2 linked regions of the Rattus norvegicus genome follow. The protein of the gene in region 2 binds, or shares a complex with, the protein of the main gene of each other region. Links are inferred from orthologs where the notes say so. Each region holds a gene or a part of one and is shown on either strand. Other genes may lie near its edges.

Region 1 (5,295 bases), on a different chromosome or scaffold from region 2:
GAGTAAAGAGCGTTGTCAGGGACAGGGCCAGCCACAGGAGTCCCAGGCCTGACACCACTGAATCCCTAGATTTCTTTTTGCCTCCTCTCCCAACCCCCAGCTCCCACCCTCCCCAAGTCTTCTGAGTCACACGGGGAACAGTAGGGGTCCTGTGGGCCCAGAGCATACCCACTACTCCGGATGGCTTCAATTCTGAGCCCGTGAAAGTTAAAGACTAACCAGGTGTGAGGGAGCTCACAATGTAGGAGGAAAATACCAGAATCCTGCTTGACCCAGGCCCCCAGCCCCGTCCTGTTCTTGTCCTGTCCCTTTTCCCATTGCCCTCGATTCCCTGGTCCCAAGCCATGGGTAAGCATTAAGGTCAAATAGGACAAATTTGGACTGGGGCAGGAAGGAAAGACTGGGGGCGAGAAAAACAACGTGGTGACCTTCTCCTGCTGACATGACAAATACCAGGGTTAGCTCGAGTCGAAGAGAGATGCAGAGGACAGAAGGGCACCAACTACCCTCCCCCATCTGAACTCTTCCCAGGCCTGGGGAATAGTCAGCATACCCACAGGTTGCTCAAGGGGTGAAAAGCTGGGAGGAAGCTCCTAAGGAAGGGAGAGTCCCATTCTCCTCCCACCCCAGGTCCCAGGTCTGCCCAGGTCCCGATTGCAGCTTCCAAAGCCTGGCTAGCCTCCCACTCCCACATCCCGGAGCCTCTCACCTGGGCAGGGCACTTTGCTTAAATGTACCCAGGGAAGCTTTCTCCTCAGTTCTGCCAGGGGGTCCTTTGCCCCACCCTGAGCCCTCCAACCTTCCTCATCCCCACCAGTTCCTCTCTCCCCTCCCCAGAACCTCTGAAGGTCACCAAGAAGGCCCTGTGGCCCTGACGTGGCAAGCAAGCCAAGGCTCCTGGCCTTCCTGAGGGTCTCCTGTTGCTACAACTCCCCATCCACCTGCTTCACACCAACCTGGACCTCCAACTGCCCCAGAGGGACAGACTCCCACCCTTGGTCTGTCTCTGTCTCTTTTTCCTAAGAGCAATCCATCCAGGGCCCTCAGCCTTGCCACCAGGGCCAAGGTCAGAGGTGGCCCTTCTCAAGACATAGCCTCCCACTGCAGCTGCCCCAGGTTGGTCCTGGATTCTGCACTTCATCAGGCCCTCAAATACCCCCTCAATAGCCTCATGACATTCTCCTTCCTCCTCTGTCTAGACCCCAGTGGAGAAAGGAAACAGAAACTTTGAACCCCTTCCCAGATGGGGAGGTTCTAGGCAGGGACTGGCCAGGTGTCCTTCTCTGGGGGCCTCTGAAGGTCACACTGTGGCCAAGCACTCCTGCCCTCCTCCCCACATGAAGGCCCAGAACCAAGGCCTTTGTGCCAGGGTCTGGGGACCTCTGGATGGTGGCAGGGACACCTGCCCTTCTCCTTCCTTCTGCCTCCTTTCCAAGAAGGCTCTATAGCTGAGAATTAGAGGAAACGAGCATCAAAGGACCCTTTAGTAGGCAAATTGGGTGGGTAAGTTCAGAGTTAAACCACCTGCTCTCTGGGCATCAGGCTTTGCCAGGACAAAGTGTGTGTGAGATACTGACAAGGGATCCTGTCAAAGGAGTAGGAAAGGGCTGGTTCCAGGCTGCCCCTGTCTTAGCAAATATCAAGTCATGTTTCCAAAACGGGGGAAATAGGGTGATGTCAGTCCACCCTTCGTTGACCGCCCCCCCCCCAAAAAAAAGGTGAAACACAGCTAACTGGAGCTGCTAGGAGGAGAGGGAAGCACACCTTCACCAACTCAAAACTTAGGTCAGCGTTTCCACAAAGAACCCGAGGGTGGGCCCCAACACCCCCACGTCTGACAGTCACCGTCCTTTTCCTGGGCCCTGGGGCCAGGAAGGGTCCGATGAGTCTTCGCAAGGAAAAGGAAAATATAAAAGGGTGGGAAGGGCTTTTCTGCACACCAGGCAGGAAATGGGGGAAAGGGGGAAGGGGCGTCGGGTAATTCTGCCTAGAGCAAGGCACGGGTAGAAGTTGGGAACGGAGGAAAGGGGTATGGGAGTTTCTCCCGGTCCCGGAGCTGGGGATACCTCCAGAGGTCACCTTCCTCGCGGAGGGCCGGTGGGGGAGGGGCGCCGCTTGTCGCCCGGGTCTCCGGGCTCCAGCAGCCGCGGCTCCGGGAACACGAGGCCGGCCAGGCCCGGGCTGATGTAATCGGCTCTGCGCCGCGCGCGCCCGGCCAGGCGGGGGAGGGCGGGCACCGCGCGGGACGCGAGCGGGGACGGGAGGGGGTGGCGCGGCGCAGGTGGCCCAACAAGCTAGAGGGGTGGGAGAGGGTCCCCGCAGTAATCCATCCTAAAACTTTCCCCAAACTCACTGCAAAGGCCGAAGAGACCGAATGGCAGTGACAGCAAAGCCCCCTCGGTCGCCGGCGCCCTGCCCCCTCCACGATCTCTGCCCTCCCCCGGTCCAAGGTCCGAGCACCCCCAGGCATGCCCGCTGGGCTCCGGACTCCCGCCCCCTCTGCCCGGACTTCCAGTTCTCCCGGGACCCGCGACCCAGAGCAAACTTCTGCCGCCAGCTCGGGCGCAAGCCCAGCCCCCTCAGCCTCCTCCTCTGGCTCCCGCCCTCCGCTGCTCGGCCCAGATCGTACGTGCGGTGACTCTGGTGGGTGGGCAGGGCCCGCGTGGGCGGCGAGACTATCCTGGCGCCCTCCCACCTAGCGCGCACCCCCTCCCCCTCCACGTACGACGACAGAGGGGGACGCCTCGCGCCCGGTGCCCAAGGACCCGCGTGGGGCACGAAGCCCCCCACGCGCGCGCTCGCACGCACGCACGTCCCCAAGCGGGAGAGGCGCTCGCCATGGCCCGGCGACACCAGGCGGGCACGACCGCTTACCTTGGCATGGTGGAGGTACAGCAGTAAAGCCAGGGTCCAGTGCACCCAAGAGAGCAGAAAGTTCATGGTTTCAGAGGCCCGTCCGGGGCCGGCGCGGCTCGCGCTCCCTCTCCGGCTCGGACTGCGAGGCAGCCCGCTCTCTTGCGCGCCTTGGCGGGCTCCTCTCCCTTCTGGAACCGAGGCCCGGGCCGGGGCCTGGGGCGCGCGCGCGGCTGGAGCACTGTCTGCGCACACCGCCGCCTCACCCGTCCATGAGCCCGGCTCCCGAGAGCCGAGCGCCCACTGCGGCCCCCTCTCCTCTTCCTTCTCTTTCTCCCCTCTCTTCTCGGGCCCCGGCTTCTCCAGGCCCGAGCTAGCACTTCTCCCAGCTCCGATCGGTTTGCCTCCTGCGGCGCAGACCACGGCTACTCCGGAGAGAGAAGAGCCCAGAAGTTGGACGAAAAGTTTCCGTGCAATCCCGCGAGCCCCGACCCCCTCCACCCCGCCTCCGGGCGCGGGCTTCGGCTCCTGCTCGCGGCTCGCCGCCGCGTCCACCGTCGGCTGCCCGCCGGCGAGGAGGTGGGCGCTGGGGCTGGGGGCGGTGTCTGTCTGTCTGTCCGTCAGCGCGACTGGTCCGATGAAAGATCCCAAGGGGGAGGGCTCACGCCGCGCTCTGGCGGTCACCCCCAAAAGCAGGTCAGTCACTTTGCCCCTGTCCCTCTCTCTGTTCGCTCGCCAGCGCGCTCTCTGACCGGTCTCTCTCTCTCTCTCTCTTCCTTGACTTCTCTCTGGAGCTCCTGCTACCTCTTTCCTCTGCTGATTTCCAAAATCCGAAGTAATTTGAGGGAGTGAAGGAGCAACCTCTCCAAACCGTTGGCACGATTTAAGAGGGGAATAGGAAGCAAAAATAAATTAAAGCGTAAAACAATACAGTTTAAGAAAAAAAAAAGAGGTTTGAATATCAAATCCCAGAGCACAGACTCCCTGGCTGATGAGTCCGTTGAATAGTCTGCCTTGTCGCTGCGTCTCGCGACAGAGCTCCGCTGCCGCCGCTCAGCTCGCCCCCAGCGCCGCGGCCTCGCTGCAGCTCGGCTGCCCCAAGCCTCTGCGCTTCTCACCGGTAACAGCGGTGGAAAAAAAAGGAAATCTGGCCCCGCCCCCAAAGGCCCCGCCCCAGGCCCGCCCCGGGGGCGAGGCCAGGCCGAACCAGGCACCGCCTTTCAGAAGCCCCTAGGCCACTACTGCGAAATAGAAATCTAAACCCCTTACCAGGGTCCATAGCCTGAGAATTATCTGTCCACCCCTTCAAACTTGGCTCGGGGACACACTGGGAATCCCAGGGTGTTGGGAATCAGGGGAGACAGGAGAGTGAGGGCAATTTCCTTTCCCAGGAATGTAGGAGAAAGTGGGGGGGGGGGGAGGCGGAGAGCTGGCAAGGACGTATGGGGAGACGGACACCCGGAGTGACCCCTGGTCTTCTCCCCTACCTCACAAACACACTATACCCAGACACACACGCACATGCACGCACGCACTCACATTGACACACGCGTCCTTCCTCACGCAGACTCGGCTCGCCCAAGTTCACGATCTCCCCGTGATGGCCGAGCGCCCCCTAGTGACTACATTATGCACACCCCAACTCTGGCTCAAATGGCACGGGTCTTGGACAGGGGGTGAGAGTTGACTGTTGAGCACCGCAGGCTTTGACTTCCCAAATAGTTGCGTGTTTCTAACACCCACCCCCCAACAGTTGCTTGTTTGACCTCGGAAACAGAAACTCTAGGATTATATATGGGGCGGGGGGCTACGTGGAAGGCAAGTATGCTTATCTGAGCTCTTGTCTGATCTTCATACATAAGGAACTAGGGCCCTGGGGTGAATGGGATTCCCTGGGAAGTTTCCAGAGAGGCTTCTCTGGAGAGGATATGGCATCAAATGTGTGACACTGAGAACGGGAAGCCGAGCAGTTAGTCAGTGGCCCGGAGGGAGACGACCTGTGGAAGCCCACGTATGCACTGTGGAGTCTGGCAGAGCCCTGAGGGAGAGACAGCTGGGCAGACAGAAGCCCTTGTTCCTCCTGATCACACCCCCCACACACAAACACCCAGATGTTGCCAGGGAACTAAGGCCAGTGTGCCAATGGGGGCAGAAGCAGGCCAGGCCTGCGTGGTGATTCAAACCTACCCTAGCATTCAGAAACGTAGTTAGGCCAGCTGCCCAGCGCTGCCACCAACTCCGGGTAGGATGGGAGTAGAGGTAAGGCTCCCTCAGTTCTAGCCTAGGCTCACAGTTCATCTTCTAAACAGAGTTCAGGGTTGTACTCTGCCCCCTCCCATTCTACCTAGGACCCTTGGCCATTTCTCTATGCTTGTACACTTAGCCTGTGTGGCTCTGTCCCCTCCCTTTCCACAAAGTCCCCTTCACCTCCTCGTGTCTTCC
Region 2 (5,195 bases):
GTGTGGGACTAGTGGGGCGTTGCACGCCCTTGCTCCCACAGTGCTTGCTGTAGTCTTCCTCGAGCCATACTTGATAATTGGTATTTAATAAGCCGCCCCAGGATTCAGTCCCCCACCTACCCAGAGGCACACCTAAGACTTCCTCCCACCCCTTTGACCCCACTTACCAAAAAAACTTAAAAACAAAACAAACAAACAAAAAAACCAACTTGGTTTTGAAAGTTAATTTTATTAAATGAAGATAATATATGAAATACATTCATCATGACTAGAAAGGTGTGGCCAGATCATGTCTCAGGTCTGTAGCAAATAATCTTGACTCATATAAAAGTAACTTCAAAATTCCAGTTTCTTTAAATAGTTATGCACAAAACATACAGATACACACATACACGTACAGTTCCTACCACTGTGGGTCAGAGGTGCCCTCTCCCTTCACTGAGCTGCCCCCCCCCCCTTCACTGCTCGAAGACCTGTGCAACGGGGTTCGACCAGATCTGTCTCCTAAGGATCCGCCTCGGGCTAGCTTAGACTTGCCTGAGGCTTCAGCTCCCTAGTCACACAGGGCGAGTCCCAAACACTAGGAGAAATGTTCGCTCTTCCTTAGTTCCAACTGCTTGGCCTTGAATGGCAAAGGGTTTTAATGTCACTGTCAAGACTCTTACCATCCAATGCTGGCTTTGGTGAACAGGCACAGTGCACCTAGGTATGGCTGTCTTTATAGATTTCCATTTTTCTTCCTACCTTAAAAACTCAGGAGGAACCATTTTCTTTCTTCCTTTCTTTCCTTTTTTCTGGCTAATCAACTTCCATAGGCTCCAAAGCTGTCCTTAAACAGAACCAGAGAATCCCAATAGGCTTTCTTTACTTTTGTGGAAAAGGGACATTTACTAAAGCATCTTAATGATTAAGAATTAGATGATTAAAATTGGAATAATACAGGACTGGCTATCCCCCTCTAATTGCTGGATATTTGGCTGAGAAATCACAGGATGCTGGCTATAGCATCCGTTTCTCTGGTAGACTCTGTCTAATCCCTGATTTACACACCGCAGTGGACAAGAGCTTTTCTAATTGAACAAAGATTTCTTTGCCCGGCCCTACCTGATTTCTTTATCTCCAGTGTGGCTGGGGAAGCCCTTTCTTTCGTGTCTAATCCTGGCCACCGTGGGTTGCAGACCACCTTGATGGGGCTTGCGCTGAGTCTCCAGTCTCATCAGACAAAGAACCTCAAGGATGTGGTACACTGGGAAGCAGGCTCACGTGCTACCGTTCAGGGCAGAGAGCTTAGCGTCAAGCGTGGTCCGCTCTCCCGAAGCAGCTATTCATCGTCTGCCCAGCCGCGAGGCTCCAGCAGGTGCACACGACCTAAACACTCAGACCACCCCACCCCTCAATTTGCACACACAGCTTCTAAGAGCCATTTTAGAGACCCAGGGCTCACAATCTCTAGACTCCAAAGAGAGGGCACCCTTTTCTACCCTGTCTTCCCTTTTCTACCCTGTCCTCATCATTGTTAGACCCCAGGCAAGGTCCGAAACAGATGAAAAGATTTTTTTTTCCTTTTGATGGCTCACTGACTAACCTGAGTCGCAGCTGTAGAGAGAGCCGTAGAGAACACCGCCTGTTCTGTCGAGGAGCATAAAGTGCTTACCAAACATGGGCTGATGCTATTCTGCTCCTCTCAGACTGCCTTGAGAAGGGGAAACACACGATGAAGTAAAAGGCGGTGAGGTGCCAACTTCAGGTGTGTGGTTTGGCGATTATACATGGAGCACCCACTCTGTCTTACCAGGTCTTAGCCCATCGAGCCGGGTCTGGGTACAGAGAAAACCCTTTTCTAGACCATTACTCTTAAGTCACCCCGGCTTCCCTGGATAGCTAACTATATAAAGCAAGGTAATGCAAAAGTGTCTTGTCTGTATATTAATACTTGAAATGAAGCCTGTTTAAAAGGTGACTTTTGAGCCCATTGGTAGGCAACCTTACTAGGCCAAACTGGACCACTTAACCCCGTGTGAGCAGTATGCTAAGGTCAGGACTCCAAGCTTGGGTCTGACCTCAGTGCATCTCGCTAGAGAAACTGATGGTGGGTATGGCCGCAGAGCCAAGCGCCACCCTCACTGACACATACTAAACGTGCTTTGGATGGCGAACAGAGACAGAAGACTCCCGGGAAAAGATTTAAGATTTACTGTGGTTCCCGAGAACATGTGCCCCCTGGTCTGGGAAACACCCCACACGTTCTGCTCTGTAACCTCTTGGAAGGGGGCCTGAAAAAGCAGAGGCCAGAAGTGACAAGTCACTGAAGTAGCAGAGCAGAGCCCTCTCCTGCACCGGCTCCACAGGATGCAGCCCACGGCCTTTTCCTGTGCCTCTCTCGTTTGCTGTTCTCCCTTTCCTCAGAAAGGGACCCAGAGCACGCTGCCCTGAGCTAATGACTTACTGGGTCTGGTCCCACAGCTGCAGGGAGGGTGGGTGGGGCCATGGCCAGCGTGGGCGGGGCGGCACCAGCACCTTCCTGTCCAAGTTACCCTGAGGCTTTGGGGGGTTGAAGCAGGTGAGCCGAGCCGTTGGGACTTAGAAAGGATTTCTCTAACGTGGAGTCACAGGAGGATTGAACAATAGTGTTTTCCTCACGTGGCTCTATCTGGGGGTTACATTCTTGTTAGTCAAAACAGCGACAACAAACAAAACAAAAAGCACGATTAAAAGTCACGAGAAGCAGCTGGCTCCCGAGGAGCGGAATAGGTGTAAACTCATATATGTATAATACTGTCAGAGGCTGTTGTCTGGGGCTTGTGAGAAGCACTAAGCAGGCGGGGAGGAGTACAACACCACGGAGTTGTAGTCTGGGGGCGGAGAGCAGCAGGATTCCTTCCCCAGCTCAGGGTCGTCTTCATCCTCCTGGCGCACAGGCCTGATGTGGCCACAGCTGGAAAAGCAGAAGCTGGGTCCGGGCAGATCGGAAAGCCCCGCCTCCTTGCTTTTACTAGTAATTCTCAGGCTAAAGAGAAAGAGAAACAATCAATCGATCTAACGTCTTACAGGTATTTTCCGGGATAGGCCTAATGCCTACTTAAATGGGTCACCTGTCCTTACCTGTCCTAGAATCTCATCTGTCTCTAGTTCCACGTTCTTTGTTCGAAACATACATGCTACTTTGGTGCCACTGGGTGGAACGAGTGGCTAGGAGTGGAGCGTTGGACGAGATGGGATTCTCACTGGAAACAAGACTTGGGAACAGCCCTGTCCTGTTAGCTCCTGGGATCAGCTAAATTGGGGGATAGGGACTGCCTGCCCTTCCCCCAATATCAGGTCAAATCCTGGGAACCTGCCACCCACTCTACAATTAAACTGAGGCTTAAAGAGGAGGAGTTCGTTCTGAATTAGCCAGGTGGAGTCCAGTGCAGTGTGCACACAAATGGTGGTCCTAACCAACCAGAGCGAAGGCTTGAGGACAGCCCCAACTGAGGAAGGCATGATGCTGTGGGAGGAGACCCTTCCCACAAAGCCCCCAAAGGGCGTGCGTCACTGCCAACACCTTGACTTTAGCTTCTGGCCTCTAGAAATAAATCCCTCCTTCAGTCACAGTCTGTGGCTAATGGTCTCAAGAAATACGGACTGTACACACAGTCATCGTAGGTGTTTCCTGAGCTCATCGTGGTCTAGGAGTCTGTTATACTCGGGTACAATATATTACAGGAGCCCAAGATGGACATGGGAGGGAGAAAGGCATCTGCACCCTGGAATGTTGGGTTGGAATTACTGTTTGGTGAGAGCTAGGATGGACAGAACTCATGAGCCACAGGAGGTAGACCGGCCTGGACTGGCCTGGCTATGATCGTTAATCTTTAATTGCAGGGTAGAAGATATAAATTAGGGTTTGCACCCTTTTCCTCCCACATGATCCTCAATAAGAAACAAAAGACCGGCCAGCCTACTCTTTCCTTTGCACACACTGAGGTCCATTACTCTGTGACTTTGACACCAGGGCCTTCTTTTGAGACTTCATCACAGGGAAAGGGCAAATATCTGCCTGGGAGTGCCCGTCTTTCCAGTGGCCTGGTGGACTGTGCAAATCCCATCACTGGAGGGGTTTGTAGGAGTTCAGTTGAGGCTCAGTCAACTACAGCACCGGGACTGGCAGCCTGGTGTTCTGTTATGCGCGTGGGTGTCGTGCTCCCCTGTATCTATGTGTCCCACACGTGTGCCTGGTGCCTGCAGACTCCAGAAGAGGGTGTCAGATGCCCTGGAACTAGAGCTAACAGTTGGCTGCTGGCCACCACGTGGGTGCTGGGAGTCAAATGGGGTCCTCGGCAAGAGCAGTCAGTGCTGCTCTTTGCCACAGCTGAGAGCCAGGCATTCGAGCCAGGAAAGGTAGGTGGGTAGGAAGGTAAGTGGCCAGGCTTGGGTAGCCTTCAGCATAGAGAACCACTGAGGTCATCTCTACCAGTCCACTCTACAGCCCGGGCCTGGTGATTCCGAAATGACCCAGAATGGAAGGAAGAACTGCCCAATGGATCAAGCCCCAGGGGATTGTGGGAACATCTACAAGTGAGATGCGGGTAATGGGTTCAGCAGGATGCAGAAAACCCTTATTGTAGAAGTTTGAATTCTCAAGGTTACAAACAGGACTGTGCTTCCTTGTGTAGACCCTGCTAGCCCAGGGACCAGAAATGGGAAGTGTTGTCTCGTGAGTCTGTGAACACGTCCCAACCCTTCCTCCACAGCTGGACACATCTGGCTCCTTTCCACCAAGGTCCCATATTTCTCAGGCTCAGCCTGCCTGTTATAAGAAGCCCCAGTCTTCCTTGTCACAGAACCTGGGGTTCATATGTCTTAATTTTATGACCCCTTTCTTGTCCCTCTGGGGGGGTGGTTGCTTTTCTACCATGCCCAAACACCAGGAGGCCAAGTAGCCTTAAACATCTCACTCACAAGCCCTCTTTCCTGGCATCCTCCACCCCAACTCCCACCCTTCCCCTCCCCCTCTCACACCCCCTTTCTTACTCTATTTTCATTGAGGCCTTGGGCTTGGTCTCAGTCCAGGTGAATCGCTTCAGCAAGGGGGAGGTCAGCAGACTGCTGGTATCCAGATGATAGTCCTGTGGGAGGGAGGAAAGGGGGAGGTGACCCACTTGCCTGGCCCGGCAGGCTCCTCGGTGACTCTGAAGACATTGGAGGCACCTCTG

What was found.
Region 1: the proteins of Flt1 (region 2) and Vegfa are in contact, whole or in part, in a crystal structure (PDB 5T89), measured with the Homo sapiens proteins. The link is inferred for Rattus norvegicus from reciprocal best matches to the Homo sapiens genes FLT1 and VEGFA. Residues at the interface, in NP_002010.2 of Homo sapiens: Ile142, Pro143, Ile145, His147, Leu221, His223, Gln225, Asn227, Asn259, Thr260, Arg261, Val262, Gln263, Met264, Ser277, Val278, Arg279, Arg280, Phe292, Tyr293, Ser315, Pro317; in NP_003367.4 of Homo sapiens: Phe242, Pro246, Asp247, Ile249, Glu250, Tyr251, Ile252, Lys254, Met287, Ile289, Lys290, Pro291, His292, Gln295, Ile297.

Annotation. Positions count from the first base shown.
Region 1 is NC_086027.1:22,451,513-22,456,807, reverse strand, and holds the start of Vegfa (vascular endothelial growth factor A), read right to left. Parts: upstream 3,955-5,295; 5' UTR 3,478-3,954; coding exon 2,875-3,477; intron 1-2,874.
Region 2 is NC_086030.1:12,499,765-12,504,959, reverse strand, and holds the end of Flt1 (vascular endothelial growth factor receptor 1 isoform 1 precursor), read right to left. Parts: intron 5,109-5,195; coding exon 5,014-5,108; intron 3,008-5,013; coding exon 2,812-3,007; 3' UTR 210-2,811; downstream 1-209. UniProt on the Homo sapiens protein: Tyrosine-protein kinase that acts as a cell-surface receptor for VEGFA, VEGFB and PGF, and plays an essential role in the development of embryonic vasculature, the regulation of angiogenesis, cell survival, cell migration, macrophage function, chemotaxis, and cancer cell invasion.